Linked DNA regions of Arabidopsis thaliana. The protein of the gene in region 3 interacts with the protein of the main gene of each other region in a pairwise test. Each region holds a gene or a part of one and is shown on either strand. Other genes may lie near its edges.

Region 1 (7,091 bases), about 18 Mb from region 3:
ACCGTCATAAAGAGTGGCTGGAATCAACGTGAATTATGATGTATATATCTATATAGTTTAATGTTTCTTTGTTATTTTTTTATTTGAGAATTGTTTTCCGTTATTATCCATGGCTCAAAGCCTCAAACTTTTAAGATTAAAATAACTACAAAATTGTTAGAACAAATCTCTAATTGGAATAATGTAATTCATTTACATAGTAAATAATACTAAGATTTGCCTAGATTAACTCAAATCTTAGATTGACGTAAATAACTTCTGAATCCAAGAACTATAATAATTCAAAATTTAACTAAATTCCCCTAAAATAAAATAAAAACAAATTTGTGAGTGATTATTTTGGCGATTATCGTCTTTCTCTCTCTTCTCCTTACGTTGGTGTCGGTTCATGTTTTTCGCCGGATATCTCATCTTGTTGGCCGCGAGAACTGGTTTTGCCACTCATTACACCATTGGTTGGGTTGTCCAAAATCTGTCGTGACGAAACTGACCAAACAGTCTCCCGGCTCAATTCATTATGGGACCTATGGCAAAACCCAAAATAAAATAAAATTTCTTAGTAAATTTTTTTTTTTGAAATATTGGGGCCTTTTAGTCTTAACAATTTTTTTGAAATTAGTTAGTAACCCTAGGCATTTGCCTACCTTGCCACCCCCAGAGACGGGCCTGTCTCGAACAAATCACGATCCGTCGTCAAGCAAGATTAACATAACTTGTTGTGACCATCATCACCATGAAGAAGCAGATCTTGTCGCAAACATCATGGGCACCATCACCAACGTATGTTGCATCAAACATACGACCAGTGCGTTGTTCTCTTCTCTCTTGGTGCGGTTTAATCATTTCATAGTAACTGCCATGTCTCTCTTTCATAAAATTTTCTTATGGTTTCCATTACAATGGAGCCGATTTCTTTGCCTCCTTCTCTTCATGGGAACGGTAAATTTCTATTTCGATGCCGGTGTGGAGAAGTTGTTCGACGGATCCGCTAAGCATCTTTTATGTCTGTGATGGGAACATCCCATTGCGATGTCAATTTGGCAATACATTGCCAATCTTCGATTGACTCTGGTGCGCTTCCTAGTGAACCGTTGCAAGAGGTTTTAGCCGAAGATCAAATGAGGCTCGTAGCGACTCTTCCTCACAACTGGTGCTTCGGTCGACGAATATGGGTTCCGGGAATATTATGTCTTCGAAGATTTGACAAATTGGCGCAAGAGAAAATGAAAACTAATGGATTGAATCCGTTAGTGAGTCTTGTAAAAGGAAAATCCATAGTCATTAACCGGTGCAGAGCGTTTCAAAAAGCATGATTCAGAACCATTTCGAGCAACTTACCAAATTCTTCGTTTTATTAAAGTAATGCAGAAAGCATTTAGGAGTTTCATCTATAAGATGTTAGCTTTTTGCGAGTGTATGATGAGAGGACTTAACAGATTTATTTTGTTGCCTGTAAGGCTTCCGTTTCGAAAGCAGGGTCACTTACACTTCTTCATCAAAATTGTGTTCAATTTCCTTTATTTGTTTCAATAGTTATATTTGAATGGTTGTTGTATGTATCATGTAAACCGTTATGATTTAATATAACTGATTTGCTGGTTTAAAAAAAAACAATTTTGAAAGTACACACAAGAGCCAGAAGAAGAGATCAAACCTTCATATGAGTATATTTCACAGAGAAGAAGACAAAAACAGGTATGTTAACAGATCCAAGACTGACCAAAAGCCAGAAGAAGTAATCAAGATGTCCATTGTTAATGTTGTCTGAAGGAATCCAACAATCTTTTCCGCTCAAATACGCCACAAGGGTAATGATCAACGAGCTCAAGTAGTTTCCTAGTGTAGTAGTGAGAAGAGCCCAAGCACTACACAAGCTTCTCATTGAATCTGGAGATTGCTCATAGAAAAACTCAATCCTCCCAACAAAGAAGAAAACTCCAGCAGTGCCCATTAAAAAGTACTGAGGGATTTGCCAAAAGATGTTTAATGGAACAATGTCTCCACTTTCCACTAGATCAAGATCTCTAGCTAACTGTAACCGAACCGTCTCAACGATAGCTGCAAATGTCAAGCTCAAAACAGAGACAAAAAGACCAATCCCCATTCTTTGTAGCTCGGTGAATCCTTTAGCTAAGCCTGTGAACCGTCTCACTAAGGGAACGATGACGCGGTCATAGATTGGGACAGATATGAGAACACTTGCAGTGTCGAACATCCCGAGAGTTGCGGGAGGGATTTCGAATAAGCCGATGGTTCGTTTCATGCACCGTCCTTGTTGAACAAAGAGAGTGTAAATCTGTGAATGGAGAACTGAGAAGATGATTCCTGAGGCCCAAATGGGGACCAAACGTAACAGAATCTTAACTTCTTCGACTTGAGTCACGGTACATAGCTTCCACGGGTTAGTGTTTGCATCTCCTTCTGATATAATTGCCGCTTTGTCAAGAAACCTGTACATTGATATCACAACCCGTTTATTTAACCGTTAATAGACTAATGCTCAATTCAAACAAGAAATGAGAGGGAAAAAGATTTTCTTGTAACCGTCCGTGGAGTCTTCAGGGACCTTGAGATTCGATTTACGGTATGCGGCTACAAGAACTTGGCAGACGCTAGTAATCGGGCTACCTCTCGGTTTCTGAAATCTATAAAGCGGCGTGCCAAAGAAGAAACTCATAGTAGCAAGTCCCATGAACACGGTAGGTATCAAGAATCCTAATTCCCATCCATAATTCTCTTGAATCCAAACTAGAACAGTAGATGAAACAAAAGCACCAATGTTGATAGTGAAGTAAAACCAGTTAAAGAAAGAAGCTTTTCTGACTCGTTCGCTTGGATCGGTCTTATCAAACTGATCAGCACCAAAGGATGAGACACATGGTTTGATTCCTCCAGTGCCAAGAGCGATAAGGTAAAGCCCTGAAAATAAAACCGTAGACTGAACCATTGTTGCTGGTGGACATAGAGAGCCAATGCATTCCGCTGGCTTAAGACCCGGAACTGAAGCTGAGAGTGTCAATGCAACCATTCCCTTAAAACAACATCAAAGAACAGAACATCAAGCCAAGAACAGAACATAAAGCAAAGTTATTTTTCAAGAAAATGCTTACGGTGAAATAAATGGCAGAGAAACAAGCAATAGTCCAATATCTTCCCCAGTAAGCATCAGCTATTAAAGCTCCAATAAGAGGAGTGATGTAACATGTTCCTTGCCATGTCATGACGTGTCTAGCAGCAGAAACATTAGTCTCATGCAATTCATTTGTGAAGTACGTGATGAGATTCTTGGCAATTCCATAATAAGCCAACCGTTCGCAGCATTCGTTTGCTGCACCAACCAAAGCATAGATATCAGTTTTTGGAGATTAAAGACAGAACATGAGAGAATACAACAAGTACATTACAAGTGAAATAAAACAAAGTGTTTACCAAAAATGAATGGACAAGCTTTCCAGTTTCCTGTTGTCTGCTTCAATGGTGGGTTTCCATGAATATCTATTGAACCATCTTCAGCATATAATTTTACTTCTTCCTGGAGAAAAACGAATTAGTCAACAAAGATTTAGACCCCAAAACACTAAAGAAACAATGACAATGAGGTTGAACCTGTATAAGAGATTCTTCAACTTCAAGAAGTGACCTTTCTTCATCAATGGAAGCCATTTTTTACTTTCTCCTCAACATGACAATTTTCACGTAAAGCTGATTTAAGCTTCTCAACGAAGGATCAAATAAAATGATCCTCCCACTGACCAAGTTGTTGTTGGTGGTGTGAGTGGTCACTCACCACAGAACCACATTCTTTAAAAAATGTTATAAAAAAAAAGAGGGAATATAAAACCACACAAACTTTATTAATCTGATTAGACTTAAGCATTAAGCAAATTTTGAGCCATAGCACACTTTTCCCCTAACACAACAAAAGTTATCAAACAAGTTAGAGACTTCAAGTTTTAAAGAAGACATCAAACAAATCTTACGAAACCTTTCTAGCCAAACCGGTAAATTAACAAAGCCAAGACAGACCAAAAGCCAAAAATAGTAATCAAGATGACCGTTACTAAGGTTCATTGTCGTGAAATATGCAACAAGTGTAAGAATCAATGAGCCGAGTGAAGAGTCCAAGCACTACACAAATTTTGCATCTAGAGATTGTTCATAGAAAAAATCAAGCCGACTAAGAAAGAACAAAACGCTAGATGTTCCCAATAAAGATATATTGAGGGATATGCCAAAAAATGCTCATTGGAACAGTGTTACCACTATCAACCAGATCGTTGGATTACTCTTGTCTCTCTCGAAGTCGAGAAGTTGGTGGCGGTGACCACTGGACCATAAAATGTGTTCTTGTTAACAACACGTTTTAAGAAATTGCAAAATTGAGTGGACCTATTGGGCTTTAAATATTAGTGGGTTTCCTAATTTGTACTTGTTGGGCCAATTTTATGACCTCCACAACTTGGATATAAAATATTTGGTAAGGAATTAAGTAAATAAATACTATTTTATTTTTTGAAGCACCAAATGCAATTTATGGTGTTAATAAAGTTTTATGATAATAATTAATTAATGCAAAATAAAAATAGTTTTGGGGTAAATTGATTTTTTTTTTTTGGGAGACCAACAGTCTTCAACCTCAAAAACGAGAAGCTCTAGTAAATCATGATCGTTTTGTAATTTATTGGTTTACCAATTGATTTTAGTGATATAGTTTTCGAACCGCTTAAATGATTAATAAATAAATAAATTAAATTATGGATTGGTGATTTTGTCTCTAAATAAAAATGTTGAATATGAAAGGAATAGTTTTGAATTGTCCTTAATAATTTAACGTTGAACTATTGAATAGTCAATAATTCGGTCGCTAATAGTTGACTAGTACAAACAAAACCGAACAGAGCATGTATTAATTGGCCATTTCAAAATTCGTGTTGCAATAATTAAGGAAAGTCAGAACTTTAGAGAAGTAAACCGGTGGCGGTTACCCATAATTGCCGGTTCGGCGAGTGGCGTCTCGGTCTCCATTTGCCGGTTCCCATTGACTAACGCGTTAGAGAGTGACTGATGGGTCGACTTTTGACTTTTACTATTTTTCTTCTTTTGTTTCTTACTGCCAGTTATGCCCCATTCCCTGCCTCTTAATTACGTATGAGTGCCACTCACAAATATTTTTATTTCTGAAAATCATTTGGGGGAGACAAAAAAAAACAAGATATAACAAACCTGTTGTTTTACTTTTGTTACTGACAAGTCCTTCAGTCAAAAAATAAAAACAAGATAGATAAAGAAAATGAAAACTGTATTTAATAATATCCTGAATAGTCAAAATAGAATTGTCTATAAAATCTGATTTTTTAAAAAATATAAACATATATGATGAAGTATTCTTGTTTCATGTATCCATTCGAAAATATAAGTAAATCCTATGTACAATTGAAAAAAAAAAAAAAAAGGTAATCTAGAAACAATGCTGATCAAGCTGTAGTATTCAACGTAATTAACCCAAGCTAGGGCTAGTGGATTCTAGTTTTCAACAAAATTAACCCAAGCTAGGGCTATTCTAAAGCTAGTCTAAACATGTGGGAGGTTTGATAAATCGCCTAACTTTATTTGTTTAATTAGGTCAGACCATGGGTTTGATGTTTATTTGAATTTTTATACTTTAGAGATGGTAATATGAGATCTTACAACAAAAAGTCAATGTCCTTTAGTGGTGATACCAATATAAGTTCGAATTTGGTTTCTAGCTTATTGGTATAAATTCCATTGACAGCAAAAAGGAATCACGAAAACAATATAATCTAGTACTATATTCACATTTTACGCGTAACGCGTTTGTAATATTCACATAATTATGTAAGTGTGAAATTGATCAAATCGCGGGAGATGCTAAATAAACAAAATCAAAATCACTAATAAAATGTTCACGATAACTTAGAAAGATCCAATAAAAAGATGACGGTCGGAATTTGTATACGATAGTAATAAAAGTATTCGTGTTTCTAAAAGTTAGTAATTCATTGGTCTAAATATTATAATGAGGAAAAGTCATTGGTAAGGAAAAGGTTTGAAAAAGGAGCACATAAATAAGGACCAGCGATGCTTCCTTTCACGATGCAAAACACGAAATGAAGAGACACATTCTCTCTACTATATATACCATTTGCTCCTCTTCCTCTAATTCCACACATTCTTCTTCAACTACAAAACAAAAACACTACTACACATTCTTTCCTCTTGTTCATTTCAAACCCAAAAATCAAAGTTCGAAGTTGAAAGAAGACATGGTTTTGTCTAAGACAGTTTCCGAATCTGATGTCTCAATCCATTCAACTTTTGCTTCTCGTTACGTCCGCAACTCTCTTCCACGGTAACAACTTGTAACACAAATCTTTTGTCTAATGTTTTCGTCAACAATAGTAACATGTAATGATGTAAACCTTGGATAGTTTTTTTTTTGGCCGTGGTTAATGTTGTAGATTTATTATGTGTTATATACTATAAGGAAGGACATGTTTCGTTATTTTAACTTAATGTATCATCATTTCATCATTAGATTCGAAATGCCTGAGAACTCAATCCCAAAAGAAGCAGCTTACCAAATCATCAACGACGAGCTAATGCTCGATGGTAACCCAAGGCTGAACCTAGCTTCCTTCGTGACCACATGGATGGAGCCAGAATGTGACAAGCTCATGATGGAGTCCATCAACAAGAACTACGTCGACATGGACGAGTACCCTGTCACCACTGAGCTTCAGAACCGATGTGTTAACATGATAGCACGTCTCTTCAACGCGCCGCTTGGTGACGGTGAAGCTGCCGTTGGTGTTGGCACCGTCGGATCGTCGGAGGCGATTATGTTGGCCGGTTTGGCTTTTAAGAGACAATGGCAGAATAAGCGTAAGGCCCAAGGGCTTCCTTATGATAAGCCCAATATCGTAACCGGTGCTAATGTCCAGGTAAACCAAAACAAAAATTGATGAAATATTAACCAAGACAAAATTGAATTTATCAATCCGGTTAAGTTATATGTGTGACTCAATTTCCGGTTCAATACAGGTTTGCTGGGAGAAATTCGCAAGGTATTT
Region 2 (7,693 bases), about 18 Mb from region 3:
TTTTGACTTAAAATTTGAGCCATGAATAATCTTTCTTCTTTTTTCATCATAGATAATCATAGATAGAGTATAGAAATATTATATTTGATTTTTTTGTGTGTGTTTAAACCTGAATTATATTTGATCTAAGACTAACTATTTCAACTGATTATGAGTCCATCAAGTGAAACTACCTATACCACATACGACATTTATGGTTTTTTTTTTAATCAAACAAAAAAAATTATTGTATATTTTGGTTAAGAGATATGAAGTGAAATCACGTGTGAGTAAGAAGAAAGAGACATGAAATCATATATTAATTAATTATTGTAAATTTTGCACAAAAAAAAGAATTAATTATATATAAATATATATATATATATATATATATATATGTGTGTGGTATCTACATAATTAATTATTCTTCTTGTGATTGTAATATTTTGTAATATTTTTCACTATATGTAAATATGTGTGAGTTATTCGACATTTATGGTTTTATAGTTTCCAAAGGTATCAATATCACTGTTTGGATATTGAAGCTAAAGTAAAGAGAGAACGTAAACGAAAGAGTAGAGAGAAACTAACTCAGTTAACTAATAAAACCAATTGTACAAGTAGATTGATTAATTCAAGAAAACAACTAATTTGTTAACAACTCCGTTTAACAAACTAACAAACTCACAAAACTAAAACTAAAACAAATTTGTTAAATTATTATATATTTTTAACACTTTTATGTCTTTGTAGTATATATTATTGAATTTTCTTGTCAAGTAAAGTTTTTGGATTTGTTTGGATAAAACTGGGAGTTTAGGAAAATAGAGCAAATCAGCAAAATGCATCAAATGAAAAAAGATTGAAGATCACGACCGACCTTGACAATCGTAAGAGTCAGTACATAAGATGTCCAGAACTGATCGGTTACATACTTGTACCGATCATTATAAAAAATGTTTCTTAGTTTAGGATTCCGACTCATTGCATATAAATTCTTAACACTTTGTAATCGTATAGGCAGATTGTTTTGTTTTTTTTTCTGTGATTATCTAGTTTTTCTATATAAAATTTTATAAACAAAATGATCGTTTGAAGAATTAGAGCATATTTGTCATTTGTTATTTTGACTAATCCATCTCCATTCAAATTGTCCAATTATGTTTAGTCAAATGAGTTTGAAAATTTTGCCTAATTTAATCATCCAAATGAGCAAAAGAATAAAGCCACACATTACTTACTAATAATATTAAAGCCCACATTAAAATAATTTCTCACGTAAAAAACAAATACTTACACAAACCTATATAATCTAGACTCTACTTCACTTGTTTGCCCTAAACCATCTATCATCTCTCTTTCAATTCATCTACACCTTATTTTTATATTTCTCAAATACTTTTCGAGAAAATTATATACCCTTTTTAATATACGACGAATGAAATCGCAGGAAGATAATCTTCTACTTGTTCTTCTACTCGAGGGGATAAAAAATTACGGACTTAAGAGATGGGATAAGATACTAGCATCACTTCTTCTATCCCAGCGAAGTATCGCTAAATGTAAAAAAAAATTCTAATCTTTCGTTAAACGAAAGGTAAATTATTTTCTCGAAAAAATTTGTGTATAGAATTAAAGGTTTTCTTTAGTCAATAGCTAATCAATCTTATCATTTATTTTCTACTAGTTTCTTATTTGCACAATACATTTGAGAAAATTATGTTATGTTTTCAAGAGTTTTGGGTTTTTGTAGAGTATTAGATAAAATCAATATTTTCTCTCTTGAGACTAGTTTCTTCTTTGCACCATACATTTGTGTTCTTTTTCATTTTCTCAAAGCTGTTTGTTTTACCGAATTTTCTCTTGGGTTGTGGAGAATATTTTTTTTTTTTAGTTTTTATAACACCTTATCTTATATAAAAACAAAAGAGTTTGTTTTTACAAGGGATGATGGATGATGAATCTATAGATGGTCGTAGTACCACACTCTCTATGGACTCAAGTTGTGGAGAATCTTTTTTTTTTTAGTTTTTATAACACCTTATTTGATATAGAAACAAATGATTTTGTTCTTACAAGAGATGATGGATGATGAATCTATAGATGGTCGTACCACATTCTCTATGCACCCTATGAATCAAGTTGTGGAATCAATCAAAGTTGGCCACATATAGTTATGAAATGATTTTGTGATAAAAACACAAATTAATTTCTATGTGAATCACAAAGAAAATATATATATATATATATAATTCCCATTTGAAGTTTAAGCACAGACCTTAGAAAAATATGTAAACAAAGCCGATGTCTATAGTCCAATAAAAACAAATTTCGCCGGGAAAAGGAATATAAAAAATTTGTCACATTTACCAAAAAATAATAGGAGAGTTTATATAGTTTCAACGTACAATTAATGATCTAGGTTATCGAGTTTTAATTTCCATTTCTCCTAATTTTGCTGACTTGAGCTACATATTATTGAGCATTCTTGTTCTTTCAGGGTTTATAGAGAGATTGGCTGATAATTACTGTTTGTTATCTGAGTCCCCAAACGATTTACTGATATCAACAACGTATTGATGATGTATTGTTTTAGAAACACATATATGTAAAAAAAAAATTCTTGATTAGAGTGATATCAACAACTTGAGACATGGACAGGTAACAGGTTGATCCACAATTCTATCTTTACGTCATAATAATAACAAAAAATTCGTAAAAAGATGAGTTTTGTTAATTACTTCTCTTATTATAATCAAAGTTTTGATTTTTATTTTCCAATAAGTCGCCGGGAAAAGTAAAATAAAAAGCCGTCACGTCTCCGATAAATAATAGAGTATCGTTAGATAGGTAGCTTCAACGTAAGGAATCTAAATTGGTTCAGCTCAAAAAACGAAAACGATGGGTTCCATCGAAGAAGAAGCAAGACCTCTCATCGAAGAAGGTTTAATTTTACAGGTTTGTTCAATTTCAATTAATCACTTAGGTTAGCGAATTTTGATTTTACTCAATTCCAAAATCTTGACTTTAGATTGATCTTATGCATTTTCTTTCTGGGTTTATTGAGATCTTTTCTGGGCAATCACTGTTTTATCTAATTGATGATTCCAATGTTTGAATTTTGCAAGTAGATATAGATCAAAGTTTCGAGCTTTGATACAGTTATAGTTTAGTTAGCTAATCAAAAATGTTTTGTGAATTTGTTTTAAGTAGGAAGTGAAATTGTATGCTGAAGATGGTTCAGTGGACTTTAATGGAAACCCACCATTGAAGGAGAAAACAGGAAACTGGAAAGCTTGTCCTTTTATTCTTGGTAATGAATGTTGTGAGAGGCTAGCTTACTATGGTATTGCTGGGAATTTAATCACTTACCTCACCACTAAGCTTCACCAAGGAAATGTTTCTGCTGCTACAAACGTTACCACATGGCAAGGGACTTGTTATCTCACTCCTCTCATTGGAGCTGTTCTGGCTGATGCTTACTGGGGACGTTACTGGACCATCGCTTGTTTCTCCGGGATTTATTTCATCGTAAGCATTGCTTCTCTGTGTAATGTTTGGTTTGGTTTGTTTGCTCCTGATTACTGATAGGTTTTTGTATTTGTTTAGGGGATGTCTGCGTTAACTCTTTCAGCTTCAGTTCCGGCATTGAAGCCAGCGGAATGTATTGGTGACTTTTGTCCATCTGCAACGCCAGCTCAGTATGCGATGTTCTTTGGTGGGCTTTACCTGATCGCTCTTGGAACTGGAGGTATCAAACCGTGTGTCTCATCCTTCGGTGCCGATCAGTTTGATGACACGGACTCTCGGGAACGAGTTAGAAAAGCTTCGTTCTTTAACTGGTTTTACTTCTCCATCAATATTGGAGCACTTGTGTCATCTAGTCTTCTAGTTTGGATTCAAGAGAATCGCGGGTGGGGTTTAGGGTTTGGGATACCAACAGTGTTCATGGGACTAGCCATTGCAAGTTTCTTCTTTGGCACACCTCTTTATAGGTTTCAGAAACCTGGAGGAAGCCCTATAACTCGGATTTCCCAAGTCGTGGTTGCTTCGTTCCGGAAATCGTCTGTCAAAGTCCCTGAAGACGCCACACTTCTGTATGAAACTCAAGACAAGAACTCTGCTATTGCTGGAAGTAGAAAAATCGAGCATACCGATGATTGCCAGTAAATATCCGCTTCATTGCTTTCCAGTAATGTATAGCTTTACTTGGTTTAACAAGTTATTCTGGTATGATGCAGGTATCTTGACAAAGCCGCTGTTATCTCAGAAGAAGAATCGAAATCCGGAGATTATTCCAACTCGTGGAGACTATGCACGGTTACGCAAGTCGAAGAACTCAAGATTCTGATCCGAATGTTCCCAATCTGGGCTTCTGGTATCATTTTCTCAGCTGTATACGCACAAATGTCCACAATGTTTGTTCAACAAGGCCGAGCCATGAACTGCAAAATTGGATCATTCCAGCTTCCTCCTGCAGCACTCGGGACATTCGACACAGCAAGCGTCATCATCTGGGTGCCGCTCTACGACCGGTTCATCGTTCCCTTAGCAAGAAAGTTCACAGGAGTAGACAAAGGATTCACTGAGATACAAAGAATGGGAATTGGTCTGTTTGTCTCTGTTCTCTGTATGGCAGCTGCAGCTATCGTCGAAATCATCCGTCTCCATATGGCCAACGATCTTGGATTAGTCGAGTCAGGAGCCCCAGTTCCCATATCCGTCTTGTGGCAGATTCCACAGTACTTCATTCTCGGTGCAGCCGAAGTATTCTACTTCATCGGTCAGCTCGAGTTCTTCTACGACCAATCTCCAGATGCAATGAGAAGCTTGTGCAGTGCCTTGGCTCTTTTGACCAATGCACTTGGTAACTACTTGAGCTCGTTGATCCTCACGCTCGTGACTTATTTTACAACAAGAAATGGGCAAGAAGGTTGGATTTCGGATAATCTCAATTCAGGTCATCTCGATTACTTCTTCTGGCTCTTGGCTGGTCTTAGCCTTGTGAACATGGCGGTTTACTTCTTCTCTGCTGCTAGGTATAAGCAAAAGAAAGCTTCGTCGTAGTAATGCTGTTATCTATCTACTTTCATTACATACAAAAGTTTGTTTCTTTCAACTGTAACTGTCTCTGTATCAATAACAACATTGCTGTGTACTTTTCCTTTCAATTTCAAAAGTTTAAGTCGCATTTGCAATATTATAAACAATTCAGGGTTCGAATACTAAATTGAGAGAAATTGTCCATAGGCTTAGTAAATCAAATGGGCTTTTGGCCCATATCAAACGGGCACAAATATGACCCGGAGAAGAAGAATGTTCCGGGTCAATAAAATCGAAGAAGAAGAAGAGAGTATCGTTGTGAGGTTTGGGGATCGCGAAAATGGAGGTTCCAGGTTCATCGAAGAAGATGATCGCAACGCAAGAAGAGATGTCTGCAGCTAAAATAGCACTTGGATCTAGAGATATGTGCGCTCATCTCTTGATTCCGCTCAACAAATGTCGTCAGGCTGAGTTTTACCTTCCATGGAAATGTGAAGACGAGCGTCACGTTTATGAGAAGTGTGAATACGAGCTTGTTATGGAGAGAATGCTTGCGATGAAGAAGATCCGTGAAGAAGAAGCTTTGGCTAAACAGAATAAACTACAAGGAAACGCTGCTGTTCCTCTTATCCCTAAAACTGCTAATGCTTAGGATTCGATTCCTTCTCCAATTTGCCGATTCCAGATTCCGGTTAGTCTATAGTTTTTCGATTTCTTGTGTTTTGGTTGATTTGATTGAATTGGTTTGTTTCTTCTGCTACATGATCAGATCTTCGTGTTCTTCAAATTCCAAATTAGGGTTTCATTGGGAATAAATGAGATTGCTTGTTCAATTAGATGTCTAATGCATTATCTTGGTTTTGAATTGTGAATTCTCTCGTCTTAGCAATTTTGTTGCCTCTGTTGTGAACATTTGACTACAATTGGATTCAATTTCTCTTAGACTGCAATCACAATTGTTCTGTATCAATCATGTTAGAGAAATGTCTGGACTTTGTACTTCTTGTTGTAAAGTATCTCAATGATATCTGAAGTTTGGATAAGGAAAATTCCATCATTGACTGGATTTTCTACAGATTTTGTTTTTTCATGATGTTTCCTTTTCAAAGCTTAATAGATAAGTCTTTAAGTAATCAGTAGCACTAATTTGCTGGAACCTTTAGACTATATAAGGATTTAAGTGTGTTTTACTGATTAACAGGACACAATTCAATTCGTTAGACTATATCTTTTATGTTTGCAAGTTATATGTTCGATGAACTTGTAAATAGTGTCTCAGATATCATGACTAGCAATTGTTACAGTGACTTTGTGTTACAGACCCGTAGAGGATATAAGAGTGTTTCACTGCTTAACAGGACACAATTCAAGTCGTTAGACTATATCTTTTGTGTTTACAACTTCTTTTGCCCGTTCTCTGTTTTAAGATCTTGTAATCTGATATCATGACTAGCAATTGTTACAGTCGCTTTGTGTTACAGACCCTTAAAAAGGATACAAGAGAGTTTCACTGATTAACTAGACCCAAGTCTATTCGTTAGACTATATCTTTTATGTTTGATTTATGATCTCACACTTCTAGGCTTTGAAATTCTTATGATTGATATATATCTTTTGTGAACTTGTAAATTGTGTCTCAGATATTCATGGCTAAGAATTGGTACAGTCACTTTGTGTTACTTATAAATCCGTGAGAAGAATTGTATAATTACAGCACCAACTACATACCTGTGTCTAAACGTTTTCTGCTTTGTTGTTTTGGTATTTTATGTCACAACAGCTACAGAACAAATCTCTTAATGTCTCTCATCTTCTTGTTCTCACTTGCCATTGAGTACTCTTGCATGCTTGTGTGATTCTTTCCTTTTTCATATCGTTCTTATGTGTTTCACTACTTGTTCATTGTATATGCCATTATGATTTGACACCAATGGGTGTTTTCTCTGTTATAAAGATAGACCCCTAAATACTTGGTCTAAGATTCTTCAACATGACAATGATTTTGTTTTCTCCTGATTTGATTGTTTATTCATTCTTCTGAGTCCTAATTCACACTCTGAAAATATTTGGACAGGGATTCTCTGGAACTGTGAAGATGGTGGGGACTCTGCTTTTCAATCTTTTTCTTCTTGCTAGTGATGAAAAATTGTTGCTACATTTTCAGATGTGAATGTTCAAGATTCTCTATCTTTTTTTTTTTTTTGAACTCTTTTTAACTTGGAGTGGTTTCCCAAAAAATAAGATGCAAAACTCATCTTTTTGTTGGTTTTCTATCTTTAATCTGTGAGAAATAAAAAATATATATGAGATCACTGACACATTGCTTATAGAACCAAATCACTTCACTGGAAGAACCATCTAACGAAATTAGTGAAATACTAGAAGTCTAAACGGTAATGGTGATTAGAGGAATCCGACAGAAAATGAGTTGTCATTTATGATAGAATCAAAAGAGGATTATAGATACGAAAAAAAGTATACCACTTTGTAGTTATATATTCCTTGATATGTGGAAGGCATAAAAACATGGAACAAGAATCGTAGAAGTTACGATAGATTGGCTCTCATATTGAGAGTCATATTGATAGGAGGTGGTTGATGTTATCTTTAGGTTGGCCGCGAGCATTTTTGGTAAATCTCATCCGTAGTTGCTTCAGAAAAGAGGACTTGT
Region 3 (8,212 bases):
TTCTCGTTATCAACCATTATTTTGGAATCTATCCGAAAAAGTTGACGAATCATTCGAATAATTTCTTATTACACTTACTTAAAAAAACCAATAAGTTATTATTATCTTGATATGCAATTTGAATGACTAATGATTCTTTGTTAACTTACCAAACGAGTATAGGTGAATGTTAGAAAATCGAAAGTACGGATACTGTTCTAGCGATCGGCAAAGTTAAAGAACTTGAACATGCATGCGCTATGATTTTTTATATAAATCACTAAAGTAGTTAAGTTAGTGAATATTAAATCATAGTGATACCAAAAAAAATACATAAAAGGACACCACAATCCTAAGAGGTAATAAATCTTCTTCTTCTTGTTTTCTTCATTCCATAATTAATTAATCCAAAAACGAGAGCCACCAAATCGATCCATAATCAAAATTTTCCAATTAAATCAATCCATATAACTATCTCTGTCGAAAACGACTAATCTAATTTCGTACATTACCGTACACTAATGCAGTCATCTAAGGAAACTTATCTTGCGAATAATTACTATTATTTCATTAAACCAACCAAATTTTATTACATAACAAATTACCCGGTTATCTAGGTACACAAGTTGACACAATGGTAGATATTAATAAAATCAAGAAAGTTCCATATAAACTAATCATTACGTTACTATCGTAAATCCTATAAATTCCCATCTCATGTACCTTCTTCTACAATATCCTTCATCCTTAAAACACTAACCTTCTCTGAAAAAAATCCAAAAAATGGTTTATAACACTTCATGCCTTATTCTTCCTTTGGCTCTCATCATTCTTGATTTTACCTTAATCTCATCATTAGCCCATCCGATTCCAAGCACACTCAACGTCTTATCCTACGGAGCTAAACCAGACGGCTCAAAAGACTCAACCAAAGCCTTCTTAGCCGCATGGGACGTTGCTTGTGCATCCGCTAATCCTACAACTATAATCGTACCAAAAGGACGGTTCTTGGTCGGGAACCTTGTTTTTCATGGCAACGAGTGTAAGCAAGCGCCAATATCTATTCGTATAGCAGGCTCAATCGTTGCTCCGGAAGATTTTAGAATTATCGCAAGCTCAAAACATTGGATCTGGTTCGAGGATGTTACTGATGTTTCAATCTACGGTGGAATACTTGACGCTCAAGGCACTAGTTTGTGGAAATGCAAGAACAACGGTGGCCATAATTGTCCTACCGGTGCCAAGGTATGCTTGACCCACAAGAAACAACAAATTTAACTCTCATGAGGTTTTTAATTTTTTTTTTTGTTAATCTTATTTGTAGAGTTTGGTGTTTAGTGGGTCAAATAACATCAAAATCAGTGGTTTAACGTCGATCAACAGCCAGAAATTCCATATAGTCATCGATAATAGCAATAACGTGAACATTGACGGCGTTAAGGTTTCTGCTGATGAGAATAGCCCTAATACCGATGGGATTCACGTCGAATCATCTCACTCCGTCCATATCACTAACTCAAGAATCGGAACCGGTGATGATTGCATCTCCATCGGTCCAGGATCCACTAATGTATTCATACAAACCATTCGATGCGGTCCAGGCCACGGCATCAGGTAACACACACATACATTTCTTGCTCCCCATCTTTCTTGATATTTCACTTTCTAAAATGTTCTCTTGTTTTTTTTGTTTGTGTGAACTCTCCAACAGTATTGGAAGTCTTGGACGAGCAGAGGAAGAACAAGGAGTAGATAATGTGACCGTGAGTAACGTGGATTTCATGGGAACGAATAACGGAGTTAGGATCAAAACATGGGGGAAAGATAGCAACAGTTTCGCTAGAAACATTGTTTTCCAACATATTAACATGAAGATGGTCAAGAACCCAATCATTATAGACCAACACTACTGTCTTCATAAACCTTGCCCTAAACAGGTAAGAATATTTATTAATTAACCATATCTTTACACCCATAACTCGATATATTGACTCATTTAATCTGTATATTAATTTCTATTATTATAGGAATCAGGAGTTAAAGTATCAAATGTGAGATATGAAGATATACACGGGACTTCGAATACGGAAGTGGCGGTTTTGTTAGATTGTAGTAAGGAGAAACCATGTACCGGTATTGTAATGGACGATGTGAATCTTGTCTCTGTTCATCGACCGGCTCAGGCGTCTTGCGATAATGCAAATGGATCAGCGAACGACGTTGTCCCATTCACTCCTTGTCTAAAGAGGGAGATCATTATAACTTAACTATAAATGGATCGCTGAACGACGTCGTCCCGATTGCTCCATGACTAAAAGATGAGTTCATGTAGATATATCTGCGAACGACGTTGTCCTATTTGCTACTTGTTGTTTGATCGTTGAGAATCTTTTTTTTTTCTTTTTTCTTGTTTTGTTTTTGATAATTTCTTTGAGAATCTTTGTAATCCAAACTATGAAGTAATGATTAAATTTTGGTTCGCATACTACATATAGATGATTTCTGTAGTAATTGTGTCTATAGATATTTTGAGAGATATGGACCAAACAACTTGTGAAAAAGTAACATAATTGGATGAAATAGAAGGTGATGGAAATATATGGGTGTGAATTAAAGTAAAACATAAACTAACTGGAAAATGATTAGTATACATTAATGGTTGATTAATAGCCGACCCATTAAGGCATTAACTATTCTTATACTATACTATAATTAACCTATGGAGCATATGAGATTTGATACTATTATTACATAAAAAATTAGTGGAGTAGCACCATATTTTTTAGTTTTTAATATTTAAAATTTACCATCATCCTCTCCACTTCACTAAAAAAAAAGTCAAAAACCCACTTTCTCCAGGTTGTATTCCATTATATTAAAGTTTTATCTTTTAATTAGTTTCATCTATATATAATCTACATGGGATTATAATCCAATCAAGGCTTTACCTCCAAAATAGATATTTTGTGTAACGAACTTTTTGGTTAATTTCGTTTATGGATAATAGTCTCAATTAATTACAAAAAGATAGAAAATTTAAACGGACTATATACGATCGTTTGTTTGCTGTGTGACTTGTCGTCTTCTTCTTCTGACTCAACCTCCATTGACCAACCCTCCAAAGACGGCAATGTGGGTTTTATTCTTAATCCATTGATCTCTTGTTGTGAGGTTTTTTGAGAATTTGCGTAAAGGAAGAAACTTTTTCAAAACTTTTTTTTGCATCAATGGAGAACATAACCGCGCAGCTCAAACGAGGTATCTCAAGACAATTCTCAACTGGTTCGATTCGTCGAACATTGAGCCGACAGTTCACGCGTCAGTCATCTCTTGACCCTCGTAGGACCAACATGAGGTTTAGTTTCGGTCGTCAGTCTTCTCTCGATCCGATCAGGAGGAGTCCTGATTCTTCCAAGAGTGATGACGAGCCACATATGTCGGTACCGGAGAATCTCGATTCGACGATGCAGCTTCTCTTTATGGCTAGCAAAGGTGATGTCAGAGGAATCGAGGAGCTTCTTGACGAAGGAATTGATGTTAATAGCATCGATCTTGATGGCCGGACGGCGCTTCACATCGCCGCTTGTGAGGGACATCTTGGTGTCGTTAAGGCTCTTCTTAGCCGGAGAGCTAACATTGATGCTCGTGATCGATGGGGAAGTACGGTCTGTCTTCTTCTCTTAACCCTCTAGATTCGAGAAGTTGACATTTAGGGATAAAGTTGACATTTTTATGTTGTCTGGTGAATTAGGCGGCTGCTGATGCAAAGTACTATGGGAATTTAGATGTTTACAATCTCTTGAAGGCTCGAGGAGCTAAAGTTCCGGTAAGAAATTTTCATTGATTTTGGATTCGATTGGTGTTTTGTTCATGTGTTTGTTTTGTGAAAGGCTTTTATCTTCACACTTATAGAAAACTAGGAAGACTCCGATGACTGTGTCGAATCCACGAGAAGTTCCTGAGTATGAGCTTAATCCACTTGAGGTTCAAGTCAGGAAATCTGATGGCATCTCAAAGGCATGTTCTTTGCTCTCTTAGATAGACACATTTGTGAACATCATTGTTCTTGGAGCAGGTTTGATTTATTCAAATCAATGGATGTTGTTTGATTGTTTTCAGGGAGCATATCAAGTAGCTAAATGGAATGGCACGCGGGTTTCAGTCAAAATACTTGATAAAGATAGTTACTCAGACCCGGAACGCATGTATGCATCTACTACTTGTGTCCTTTATTATGTGTTACATTTGAGTGATCCACCCCTAAATTTTGTTTGCTAAGCTGTGTGATTTGGTTTGGCATGAAGAAACTGATTCTGCTTTGTCTTTCTGGCTTTTAATCTGAACAGAAACGCATTTAGACATGAATTGACGTTGCTAGAAAAAGTCCGGCATCCAAATGTTATCCAGTTTGTTGGAGCTGTCACTCAGAATATACCGATGATGATTGTAGTCGAGTATAATCCGAAAGTGAGCATCTTTACTTGTCTTCTCCCTTCTGAGTTTACCTTTATTCACTAATCATCTCAATGTCGTCTCTGTTGCAGGGAGATTTAAGTGTATATCTCCAAAAGAAAGGACGTCTTTCTCCATCCAAGGCACTTAGATTTGCTCTTGATATTGCCAGGTATGTTAGATTCTCATGTATTGCTGCTAAGGTTACTGTAACTGTGAGTACCTCACCGGATGGTTTTCGTGGTTTTTCTCGTGTCAGAGGCATGAACTACCTCCATGAATGTAAACCAGATCCAATCATTCACTGTGATCTAAAGCCAAAGTAAGAGAATTAAAGGCATATGTCGATTAGATACGTTAAAAGCTTTTGGTACATACTCATTGAGATGTTTCTTTTCGTTTAATTTTTCGAAATTTTTCGTAAGGTGTCAGAAATATTTTGCTGGATAGAGGAGGGCAATTAAAGATCTCAGGATTTGGTATGATAAGATTGTCGAAAATTTCACAAGACAAGGCGAAAGTAGCAAACCACAAAGCACATATAGATCTCTCTAGTAAGGAGAATGCTTCATTCACATGCATGAAAACTGAATCTCTTGGTAAGATCTATGATCATTGAAAAAAATGCATTCTTGATTGCAGATTACTACATTGCACCAGAGGTTTATAAAGACGAAATATTCGACCTAAGGGTTGATGCACACTCCTTTGGTGTCATTTTATACGAGGTACATTTCCTCGTCTTGCTCTGTTTTTTTATTCTTGTGTTTCTCTAATCTTGTTAGTGTGCGTTTCTGGTCAGATAACAGAGGGAGTACCAGTTTTCCATCCGAGACCTCCTGAAGAAGTTGCGAGAATGATGTGCTTAGAAGGAAAGAGACCTGTATTCAAAACTAAGTCAAGAAGTTACCCTCCAGATATAAAAGAGTAAGCTCTAAAACTATTTGGAACCAAGAATTATCTATTGCCTATGCAAGAACTTGGAGTGTCGGATTCTTAACCTGTTATATCGCTTACTCTGCAGGTTGATCGAGAAATGTTGGCATCCAGAAGCGGGTATTAGACCGACATTCTCTGAAATTATTATTCGACTTGACAAAATAGTAGCAAATTGCTCTAAACAAGGATGGTGGAAAGACACATTCAAGTTCCCTTGGTAAGATTTCATCTTCTCATATAATCTATAGTTAAAGCAGAGAGGAAAGATTGTGTGTGTTTTAATGTTTTCTTTCACAGGAAATAAAAGGGGAAGAAGAAGGAGGGAGAAACAAGAAGAGCGTGAGATTTGTGGACAAAATCCGATTCAGTGTTTCTCAGTCATATGAACATGGACAAACTCACTTGCTATGTATATTTTTTGTGTAGAACAAAAAACAGAAGATAATTTCTTCTTTTTGTCATTCCACATCTTTATGGGGCTGTATGCATAAGTTTGTATAGTTTATAAACGCGTTACTGTATAACAAACACAAGAACTCCGGCTCGTTGCAATTAGAGGATGAACAAACAACAGATGAAGAATCATTTTGAAAGGTTTTATTGAAATATCCATCAAGAGATATAAAATCTTTGCTACTTTATCATGTGCTTAACTTATTTGATTTGAATTTTTGATACAAATTCGTTAATGTTGATATCTGTAGAACCTCCTTCACTGAGTGACTTCACAGCCAAGTCTCTCCATTTTCCCGCATTCTCTTTCATCTCTTTGCTCTTCTCTCCTTCCATCACTTCCTTGATGCTAAACTCAATCTCCTCTCTTTTGCAAATGCCACTTTCTTTCTCTGCTTTCACACGAACCCCAACCTTCCATACATCTTGTATATACTTTGCATTCATTGGTTGATCAGTCCATTGAGGCATAGCCACCATGGGAACCCCTAAACTCAAACCCTCCATGGTTGAGTTCCAGCCACAGTGAGTCATGAAACAACCGATGGCTTTGTTTGACAGAACTTGAAGCTGAGGACTCCACTTCAAGACCAAGCTCTTGTCTTTATCCACTGTTTCAAGAAACCCTGGTGGGAGCTTTGACTCCTCTGAAGCTCTGACAACCCAGAGGTAGCTGAAGTTGCTTATCGCCGAAGCAATCTCTTCCATCTGCTCACTACTCAGTTTAGCCATGCTCCCAAAAGCTATATATACTACCGATCCTTCTGGCCTCTTGTCTAGCCAGTCAGTGCATAAGGCAGCTTCTTTTAAGTCAAAGAGGTTCAGATCATAGTCGTTGTCTGATTTGATCTGTTGGTCTAAGTACATTGATGGAACAGTTGGACCAATTGTCAACACAGGACATACTTTCGACAACAACTCCTCTTCCTGTAGACGGAAATCAGAGAACAGAAAAATAGTCATTAGGTGATAAAACAGAGTAGCTAAGGGAAAAACAGGGTAGCTAGGTCAAAAAGAACAGAGTAACTAGGGCAAAAACAGAGTAGTTAGGAAATGAACTAACATGAAGGTCGAGGTCATGGAAGGAATTAACGAGTACGAAATCAGCTTTGTCGAAGTTGGTGAACTGTTGAAGCACCATCTCAAAGTAAGCAAGGTGTGAACCAGTAGGAGTGACGAAAGTAGGCAAATCTTGGAGCTCAAGAAGAGGCAAATCCTTGATGGGAAGTGTCAAGCTACCATTGTTTATGTAAGAAAGATAATTGATATAGTTAACGGCGCAAGACTGCGTGAAGAAAGGAGCCGCAGCTAGACCAAAATCCATTGCAAGGTCAAGCGCCCAAGGCATGAAAGAATCATAGACGATACAAGTAATAGGGTTATCAGTACTCTGGTGTTTGCGGATGATATCAGCGACGGTTTTGGAGCCGAAGGTTTTGAAGTTTTGTAGGTACTCCGGGACAGAACCGGCTGATGAGAACCCTCCCTGGTCATAGCCATCGGAGATTGTGGCTATGGAGATAGGACTAGATGGGTCGAGGTGGATTGTGTTGAAGATAAAAGTGGTGAGAGTGTGAGTGGTTTTGAAACCTTTGGAGTGAAGTCGTTTGCAGAATTGGCGAATCGGGGTGATGTGTCCTTGGCTTGGAAATGGCACTGCTAATACATGTCCTCTCATCTTCTCCATCTCTCTCTCTCTCGTTATCTCTCTCTGTCGCTCTCAATCTTTTGCTTTCCGCAGAACGAATAAAGGGATATTGGGAATATACATATATTAATAGACTTGTGAGGTTCTTCCAGAAGACAACAGCTTTTCATCAGAGCAAGAAAAGAAAATGGTCCAAAAAAAAACTAAATAAGGGTGACAAGTGAAAAGCTTGGATTTTAAGTTTTATTTCTTTTTACTTTATTGTGTTATCTTTGGGAAGATGGAGAGTACATAGACACATGGAAATGAAAATGGGACGTAATAACAAAGTCAGAAGATTCTCTACGGTTCTGTAGTTAGAATAAAAGATCTCGACAACATTTTTAATTTAGTTGCAACTAGTATAATTAAAATTTTGCAGGAAATCAATTGTGAATATATATGTAAGAGATTTAAAATTTAAGGAAATAGAAATATCCAATTAGGAAGTCAATAAGTGAAATTTTCTACCGCTCTATAGTTAGAATAAGATCTCGGCAAAATGTTTATTATAATAGCAAATATGGGTGTTATAAAAAAATTCTAAACCTTAGTATATTAAAAAAAATCTAAACCTAACAAAGCCAAAAAAAAATCAAAAATCAAATGTCAAGTGATGTATATGTTAAACCTAACAAAGCCAAAAAAATAATGTATGCATTTGGTAAACCAAATAAAGCAAGAATAGCAGCCAAGCACTAG
Region 4 (8,534 bases), on a different chromosome or scaffold from region 3:
CATACCTAATGATTTAGAGTGTTCACTCAATCTCCAAGTTAGAGCAGGCTAATTTCGGCAAAACTCTTACCTGCAAACCATTATTTGGTATATGTGAGTGTACATAAATTGTCACCGGAATTAAACCATCAAATAACTTGTCACAAGCACTTTTTCTGCATATCCGAATTCGATGATGTGAAGAAAATGGTTGTACCAATTTTCAATTGCACATATGTCTGTCATTTTCAGATTATGTTACATGTAAAAACCAAGTATGGTTATTATATTTTGTTTTCAAAATGAGAATCAAAATAATAGAAATCAGTAAGTATTTCTTATCATGGTAGTTTACTTTGATTGGTTATCTTATTCTGTGTAAGCTCTCGACGATTTTATTCATATTTTGAAATACTATACAAAAGTCATGATGTGTGTACATTTTCCATTAGGACTTTCTAGACTTGAGCATTATTTTCCTTGATAGCTTCATCGACGTTTAGGCCCTGAAATCCAAATAAACAAACTCATAATTAAAATCCTGCTTTTCTAAAGTAACAAAGAATATTAAGTGATAAAGATTGGGAGAAATAATTACGGAAAATAATCAATGTTAATAATCCCAGCGACAGGATTAGCGATCTGAGCAAAAGCTTCTCGAGAAAGATCGAGCGTAGAAGCACAGCCACTGGGACAATGGTCAACGATCTTGACCTTCACGGATTTCCCCGTGCAAGGGTGAGGCACGGCGTTACGAGGTCCGCTGCATTTCACGGTGAACATTTTGCCACAAACTCGACCATTGTCCCATAATGTATCACTCGCTGCAGCGATCATCACTCCTTCTTGAGTACCTCTGTAACATGCTGATGCTATCAAACATGAAATAAAAGAAAATGATTTTATAACATTTCGCTGTAGGTTGATATGAAAATGTATAAGATAAGTTTGTTGTTTGTATTTGTTTTATAATTTTGGTAGTAAAACACACAAAAATTCTTACGAGTGTAACTTGTGTAAAAAGTTGCAATCCCGGGAGTTGCATATGAGAAAGAGAAGAGAAAAACAAGAACGGTAGAAAAAAACACAATACTTTTACTCATGATTCGTATTTATTTGTAAGAGTGTTTATCTTTGAAATGTGACATATCTATTTATATATCTGCTATATATTATATGACTAACTCTAAATATGCATGTATTGTAATTGTTTGCCATTGAAATATCTTTGACTGTTCCCATTTTTTAACATGTGTATAGTTGTAAATTTGTTATATTTAATTTCTTCTTATCTGTGTTGACTAAAGGTTTAGAAAGATTGTTATCCTCATTTGATAGCAAATTTACAGCCAAAGACTCCAGAAAACGTTTACTAACTACGCTGATCAAATTTGCCACGTAAATTTATATGAACAATCTCATAAAAACAATTCATCAAAAGGAAAAAAACTCTCCTTTTATAGGTCCTAAATGTAGTGAAATCAATATTTATGGACTAGTACATATGGAACAGTTATGAGGCGAGCGTTAATGGGCCGAACGAGACGATAAGAGACATTATTCTAAACCAAGCTCAACCACGAAGATAACCGGATCATAACCGCAAAATGAACCGGAATAAAACGTGAGAAACAACGAGATAATATTAAAAATGATGCAAAGAATTTCTGAATGTAAAGGTAGGTATGGTGACATAAGGAATGGAGTTACCGAGGAAGCTGCCCTTGTCGGATTGTCCTTATCACTTCCCACTCGGCATTACCAGATAGGAAGCTCAGAGGACAGAGATAATAATTGGAACCCAAAACTGAACCCTATTTTATATAATCTCATCACCAATACTTTATCCTTAAATGAAGTCTGGTTTCGCCCTTTGTTTTCTCCTCTAGTTTTCTTGTAACGCCAAACTACATTCTGTATGATCAAAATTTAGTAACATAATTTATCAGAACCCCATTGTTTTAAAACGTGTCTGTGTATTTGTGTTTATATACGCTTAATCTTCTTCTTTCTAGTTAAATTTAATCAATTTAATGAAAAATTTGGTATATAAAAAAAAAGACTTTGCTCACGAGTTCCTCTCATAAGGGCCAAAACTAGTTAAAAAGTTATCGTCAAAAACTGATATAAAAAAGATGTCCGAATATTCCCGCATATAAATATCTATCAGACAAACTCTTTTGTACAATATACTTTGAATCCGATAAATTTTCGATCTTCAAAATCCATAAAAATCTCTCCTTTATTTAGCCCTAAAACAGAGTATTAGAGTTTGATTCGTAAAAGAGAATATTTTTAATCTCCGCCGCAAGTCGATGTCGATAACGATTCCCTACGATGGCTCAATCTCCCGCGAGCCATCACCGTCTCCACCGCCGCCAAAAGCGAACACGAAGAATCTACCGACGAAGATTCTCTCTAACTTCCTCATAGGTCTAATCATGATCCCTGTAGCTATAACCGCTTTTATCTTTATCCTCACGTCTCTCGGTTTCACCTTCTTCTTCGCTTTCTACTGGTTTCTTCAACGAAACTATCGCCACCGTCTCCGCCGCCATCGCCGTCACGAATACTCAGATGGGTTATCTCCAAGATGCGTGAAGAGGCTTCCTCAATTCAAGTATTGTGAGCCTAGTTCAGAGTACGGAGGCGATGATTGTGTTGTTTGTATCGATGGATTTAGACAAGGACAGTGGTGTCGGAAGCTGCCTCGATGTGGACATGTGTTTCACCGAAAGTGTGTGGACTTGTGGTTGATTAAAGTCTCGACTTGTCCGATTTGTAGGGATAGGGTTTATAGATTTGAAGAAGGAAGAAGATGGAGACCACAAGGTGAAATTTTTTGATCGGTGGTTTTATAATTAGATTTGAAAGTGTGTTTAGTTTGTTATCATATTTAGCAGCAATTTTGGTTTTCATCAATAGTCATGTACAGTGTCTTTTTTTTTTTTTTACACGGCTTCACAATTGAAAGCTTGTTTCTTCACCGTTTGATGAATTTGATCCAATAAGAGAATGATGGGTTTCTGTAGAATTTAACTTAGTTTGAGGTTTGATTATCATGCCAATTATTAAATTCAATCTAGTCAATTACTGATAGAAATGTTGTCCATTTGTCACTTTAAACATGTTGCTTATGTTACCTTAATGATTTCTCATAATTTCACTTGAGATTCAGTGGTTAATCATCAATGTTTCTGTTTCAATTTGTCCATGATGAAGTATAAGTTCTAAGTAAAGCTTGGTTCATGTGATTTTAATTTACCTACTTCACCTCCAAAGTTATGTCAACTATGTTTTCAAGTGTGTGATTCAAAAGTTTATATTGAACATAAAAATAAAGGAGGCTAAAGAATCGTTTTCTGATTGGAATGTGAGATTGTGACTCACACGGAGAAAGTGATTGTGATTGGATCTGACTATAAGACTAAAGAAGTGTTTTTGTGAAGTAACAAGTAACATTGTCTAATTAGTGTTTTGTATTGTAAACTAATAATGACTTTGATTAACGAAATAATGTCACTTTAGTCAAATGTGTTGACTTTCTTGTCTTATACCGATGGCTCAAGTATTCCCAAGAAAAAAAAACAAATATCCCTCCGATTTCTGACTCGTCCCGTGACTCAGTGATTCTCCTCTTCCAATCCTCTCCGGAAGAACTAAACAAAAACACGATCTTTCTCAGATTTAGAGAGAGTAAGAGTGAGAGAGTGTCAGAGACACGAATCAAAGAAATGATTTTTAAAAGCTTCTGTTAATTCTAATTTGCATAGATTTGTTTACTCGAGCTTGAGCTTGAGCTTCTTCTAATGGAGTTAAGGAAGGACAAGCTTCTTATGTAAGTTTTCTTTCTCTCATCCGTCGGTTAGACTTACGTTCCTGAAAGTCTTCAACTTTGATTGCCCAGAAATTAAAAATTCTAGACTTTGCTTTAGATTTATCTCTTCTTTAGATGTTACAAGCTCAAGCTCCGATTTTGGGTACTGGGTTTAACTTAAATCTCTAGTTAGGTTTCAGATTACAGATTTGAGTTGTGTATTGCTTTGTAGGTTTTACTCAGAGGGGAAAGAAAGCAAAGAAGCTAAATGGGCAGTGAATGATCCAATGAGCAAATCTTATAAGCTCTCTTTACCTTCAGCACTAAGACCTGATAATCTCTTACCTGGAAATAGACTTAGATACACTGATGCTTCTAAGTCCAAATCTTCTAAAGTCTCATGGTACAAGACTATTCTTGATCCAGGAAGTGAGATTGTCTTGAAATGGAATTGGGTCTTCATTGTCTCATGTATGGTTGCTCTCTTCATCGACCCGTTGTACTTCTTTGTCCCAGCTATAGGAGGAGATAAAAACTATCCTTGTGCAAGGACTGATACAAGTTTAAGCATCCTTGTTACTTTCTTCAGGACAATAGCGGATCTTTTCTACTTGCTGCACATTTTCATTAAGTTTAGGACTGGTTTCATTGCGCCTAATTCAAGTACTAGAGTGTTTGGTAGAGGTGAGCTTGTGATGGATCCTAAGGCTATTGCTTGGAGGTATATTAAATCTGACTTCATCATCGATCTCATTGCGACGTTACCACTTCCACAGATAGTTATCTGGTTTGTTATATCGACTACAAAAAGTTACCGGTTTGATCATAACAACAATGCTATTGCTTTGATTGTGCTCCTCCAATACATCCCAAGATTCTATTTGATAATTCCGTTAAGTTCTCAAATTGTTAAAGCAACTGGAGTTGTTACAAAGACTGCTTGGGCTGGAGCTGCTTATAATCTTTTGCTATACATGCTGGCTAGTCATGTATGAATCCCATTCCTTCTTCTTCCATTATTTCATTCCTTAAATGTGATGATAATCAAAGCTACAATGTTTTTGTTGGGACAGGTGCTTGGTGCAGCCTGGTATATATTATCGGTTGATAGATATACATCGTGCTGGAAATCAAGATGCAATGGTGAAGCTGGCCAAGTTAATTGTCAGCTATATTACTTAGACTGTGATTCAATGTATGACAATAATCAGATGACTTGGGCAAATGTCACAAAAGTGTTTAAACTCTGTGATGCACGGAATGGCGAGTTCAAGTATGGGATCTTTGGGAATGCAATCACGAAAAACGTTGTGTCTTCACAGTTCTTCGAGAGATATTTCTACTGTTTGTGGTGGGGATTGCAGCAGCTTAGGTAATGGCAGAGATCATAGAAATTTTTTGATACCAATTATTACTCTCCTTTTGATTACAAGTTTTAGAATCTGATGACATTTTCCTGTTATTGTCATATTCTAGTTCTTATGGACAGAATTTGTCCACGACCATGTTCATGGGCGAAACCACATTTGCTGTTCTCATTGCAATCTTTGGTCTTGTCCTCTTTGCCCATCTCATTGGGAATATGCAGGTATGGATTCCTGCGTTAGGATAAGTTCTAAAAGTATCTGCTTTTGTTCTTATGTTTCTTGGGTTTTGCCTTTTGTTTGTTAGACATATCTGCAATCTTTGACTGTACGGCTTGAGGAATGGAGATTGAAGAAGAGAGACACTGAGGAGTGGATGAGACATCGTCAACTTCCTGAAGAGTTGAGAAACCGTGTGAGGCGATATGAGCAGTATAAGTGGCTTGCAACAAGAGGAGTCGATGAAGAGGTTCTCCTGCAAAGTTTACCCACTGATCTTCGCCGTGATATTCAACGTCACCTATGTTTAGATCTTGTTCGAAGAGTAAGTTTTTCTATTGATTTGTTTATCCTACAAATGGTTCAACTTTTAGGTTAACTACTATCTTGAATCATGCAGGTCCCATTTTTCTCTCAAATGGATGATCAGCTGCTTGATGCGATATGTGAGCGCCTGGTTTCTTCTCTGTGTACTGAAGGGACTTACCTTGTACGTGAAGGTGACTTGATCTCAGAGATGCTCTTCATCATCAGAGGTAGACTCGAGAGTTCCACAACCAATGGAGGCAGAACCGGTTTCTTCAACTCGATTATACTTAGACCTGGAGATTTCTGTGGGGAAGAGCTTCTTTCTTGGGCTTTGCTTCCAAAATCAACCTTGAATTTACCATCTTCTACAAGAACAGTTAGGGCTTTAGTTGAAGTCGAAGCATTCGCTCTTCGAGCTGAAGATTTGAAATTTGTTGCAAATCAGTTTAGGCGGTTACACAGCAAGAAGCTTCAACATACATTCAGATTCTACTCTCACCATTGGAGAACTTGGGCTGCTTGCTTCATACAAGCGGCTTGGCGCAGGTACAAGAGAAGAGTTATGGAGAATAACCTCACTGCGATTGAATCAATGGAAAATGAAGAAGGAGAAGTAGGAGAAGAATTAGTAGTAGTAGAAGAAGAAGAGTGTGTTGAGGAGAGTCCTAGAACAAAGATGAACCTTGGAGTTATGGTTTTGGCATCGCGTTTTGCAGCTAATACAAGACGCGGTGTTGCAGCTCAGAGAGTTAAGGATGTAGAATTACCCCGGTTTAAGAAACCCGAGGAGCCTGATTTCTCTGCTGAGCATGATGATTGACTGATGTATAACCAGGAGAAGAAGCTGACTTTGTTCCATAGAAGATCTTAATGACAAGAACACTACAGAGTAAGTTTCCTGTTCCTTTGGGAGACATAAAGAAAGAAACTCAAGGCGGGTTTTGGTTTGTACACTTAAACATCTTTTGTAATATAAGCTTGGAGAATTAGTTTTGTTGTACTATTAAAGAACTCGTTTCTAAATTCTCTAAATGTAAAGATGAGGAAGTTGAAGTGGATTATGTACAAATCACATCAAACCTTGCAAAATTGATTGAACCAACAAGGAAGTAAAAAGATGTCTAAGCCCATTCGTCAAAGCCCCTATATGCCGTGGTTACTGACTTACTGTAACGTTGAGAATAAGATGGTAAAGAAAGAAAAAATATATTTTCTTGAGCATGTTGCATATTGCTATCGACACAAGCTTCTTTTTAAAGAAAGGTAGACTCACTTAATCAATAGACATAAGATCATACTAATGATGAGTTTGGACTTTGGTCCATGGGAAAAAGTTAAAATGTTTACTTGCTTTCTCTACTGACCTAGATATGTCGGATCAAATCATAATCTACATTACAGGATTACATACATATTTGGGATTTTTCTTTTTGCAATATGGCCACAAGACCAGCTCAATGTAATCATGGATTCTTAGTCGATTTAAAAAGTTGTAAATATTTTAAACTAACATATTGAAAAGTTTCTGAAAATTTCTTGTCCCATATAATATACAAATAAATTTTATGGTCTTGAATGACAATAACAATATAGTATGGCACAAGAAGTTAGATTGAACGGAAACTGAATCATGAAAACAATGGTTTTCAACAATCATAATTATAGTAACATATATTAATATTTTGAATCGTTTATTAATATGTGAAATTTTTAAACATGCATGCATATATTAAGAGATGACATAGTAGTTGTACCTTATAGTGTGTAGTTGCTCACTAGAGAAGTTAAGTTCATGTCCCCTTTCCAAAAAGCTCAAATTCAACATTAGGTTTCAATCATGTAAGGTTGAGATCCGCGACCCCTTTTAGTTATAACATAATTTAATACATACTTATATTCGTAAATCATTATCTTCACATCCTTTTCATGCCTATAATTACAATAATTAAAAGAGAAAAGGCTAGAATATATATTAAACAGGAAATAGGTCTTTGAGTAAAGTTGCAGCATTTGCTACATTATTTTATTTTCCACTTGAAGACTATTCAATTACACTCTCACATTGATGATATTATGAGTTTCTTTTTGTCACTTCAAGATCAAGTATTGGCATGGTGTATGATGAATCTTTCTGTGAGATAAATTGAATCTAATTTAATATTTAAGAATTTTCAACTACTATAGTGTCCAATAGCTTAATCTTTCTCACTTTTGACAGGATATATTTAAGTAAGAAAAAATATTTAACTAAGTGAGGAGGCATAATGCAAATCCACCAAAAAGATAGAAAGAGAGAGACCATAAGGTCCATTTATATAACTAAATAATTGAATGATATAAAGGCATGTTTTGGTTTGTCTTCTCCTTGTTCTAGTGCTTCTCTTTGGCAAAAATCCTTTATTTCAAAATAATATTAAACTATATCCCCTTAATAATTTGTTGTCAATAATTAGGTTATCAGTTGCTTTATTTCAAACAAATCCGTATTTTTTAATACTTGAAAAGAATTGGAGATGCTTTTAGTTATGTATAAACAAAGTACCACAAAACTTCAGCCTTATCTTCCACTCATAGAATATTACTAATAGTATGTAATATCTAAAAAGGCGAAGGAAGTAAAAGGCAGTTTTGGAGGCTTTGTCTTCAAGTGTCTAGCAGAGAACCGGAGTTATACGACCTGTAAAAGCCAAAAATAAAACACGACTATTGCATCAACTTGTTTCAGTAATTCAAAATATATATCAAAAAAAAAATTGTATACTTAATAAGTCGTCTAGAAGACTTTCAAACAAATAAAGACATGTACTTAAAATCTCGAAATTATTTACTGTGTCGAAAATTGTCTT

Evidence for each region.
Region 1: the proteins of AT2G43850 (region 3) and PTR4 interact in a protein complementation assay, tested with the Arabidopsis thaliana proteins (one large-scale study listed by BioGRID).
Region 2: the proteins of AT2G43850 (region 3) and PTR2 interact in a protein complementation assay, tested with the Arabidopsis thaliana proteins (one large-scale study listed by BioGRID).
Region 4: the proteins of AT2G43850 (region 3) and CNGC17 interact in a protein complementation assay, tested with the Arabidopsis thaliana proteins (one large-scale study listed by BioGRID).

The regions. Positions count from the first base shown.
Region 1 is NC_003071.7:475,689-482,779, reverse strand, and holds PTR4 (Major facilitator superfamily protein), read right to left. Parts: upstream 3,804-7,091; 5' UTR 3,664-3,803; coding exon 3,607-3,663; intron 3,533-3,606; coding exon 3,430-3,532; intron 3,329-3,429; coding exon 3,111-3,328; intron 3,032-3,110; coding exon 2,545-3,031; intron 2,451-2,544; coding exon of another isoform or gene 2,422-2,450; coding exon 1,649-2,421; 3' UTR 1,595-1,648; downstream 1-1,594. Other genes in the region: AT2G02030 (F-box family protein), read right to left, coding at 375-445; AT2G02026 (uncharacterized protein), read right to left, coding at 694-873; AT2G02023 (uncharacterized protein), read left to right, coding at 1,002-1,313; GAD4 (glutamate decarboxylase 4), read left to right, coding at 6,129-6,370, 6,557-6,962, 7,063-7,091.
Region 2 is NC_003071.7:484,662-492,354, forward strand, and holds PTR2 (peptide transporter 2), read left to right. Parts: upstream 1-2,736; 5' UTR 2,737-2,880; coding exon 2,881-2,937; intron 2,938-3,192; coding exon 3,193-3,510; intron 3,511-3,588; coding exon 3,589-4,145; intron 4,146-4,220; coding exon 4,221-5,046; 3' UTR 5,047-5,280; downstream 5,281-7,693. Other genes in the region: AT2G02050 (NADH-ubiquinone oxidoreductase B18 subunit), read left to right, coding at 5,363-5,674. UniProt on the Arabidopsis thaliana protein: Peptide transporter. Mediates the transport of di- and tripeptides. High affinity, low capacity transporter. Can also transport histidine.
Region 3 is NC_003071.7:18,156,979-18,165,190, reverse strand, and holds AT2G43850 (Integrin-linked protein kinase family), read left to right. Parts: upstream 1-3,008; 5' UTR 3,009-3,206; coding exon 3,207-3,644; intron 3,645-3,730; coding exon 3,731-3,805; intron 3,806-3,891; coding exon 3,892-3,996; coding exon of another isoform or gene 3,997-4,000; intron 4,001-4,098; coding exon 4,099-4,184; intron 4,185-4,325; coding exon 4,326-4,446; intron 4,447-4,523; coding exon 4,524-4,603; intron 4,604-4,690; coding exon 4,691-4,753; intron 4,754-4,863; coding exon 4,864-4,985; intron 4,986-5,073; coding exon 5,074-5,159; intron 5,160-5,233; coding exon 5,234-5,358; intron 5,359-5,455; coding exon 5,456-5,587; coding exon of another isoform or gene 5,588-5,591; intron 5,592-5,667; coding exon 5,668-5,674; 3' UTR 5,675-6,009; downstream 6,010-8,212. Other genes in the region: AT2G43860 (Pectin lyase-like superfamily protein), read left to right, coding at 763-1,224, 1,304-1,593, 1,691-1,916, 2,007-2,246; UGT74F1 (UDP-glycosyltransferase 74 F1), read right to left, coding at 6,025-6,750, 6,887-7,510.
Region 4 is NC_003075.7:14,853,034-14,861,567, reverse strand, and holds CNGC17 (cyclic nucleotide-gated channel 17), read left to right. Parts: upstream 1-3,548; 5' UTR 3,549-3,788; coding exon 3,789-3,817; intron 3,818-4,028; coding exon 4,029-4,785; intron 4,786-4,869; coding exon 4,870-5,168; intron 5,169-5,272; coding exon 5,273-5,384; intron 5,385-5,467; coding exon 5,468-5,704; intron 5,705-5,779; coding exon 5,780-6,508; 3' UTR 6,509-6,874; downstream 6,875-8,534. Other genes in the region: AT4G30380 (Barwin-related endoglucanase), read right to left, coding at 479-485, 578-851, 983-1,082; AT4G30370 (RING/U-box superfamily protein), read left to right, coding at 2,295-2,825. UniProt on the Arabidopsis thaliana protein: Probable cyclic nucleotide-gated ion channel. Forms a functional cation-translocating unit with AHAs that is activated by PSKR1/BAK1 and possibly other BAK1/RLK complexes. Required for PSK-induced protoplast expansion.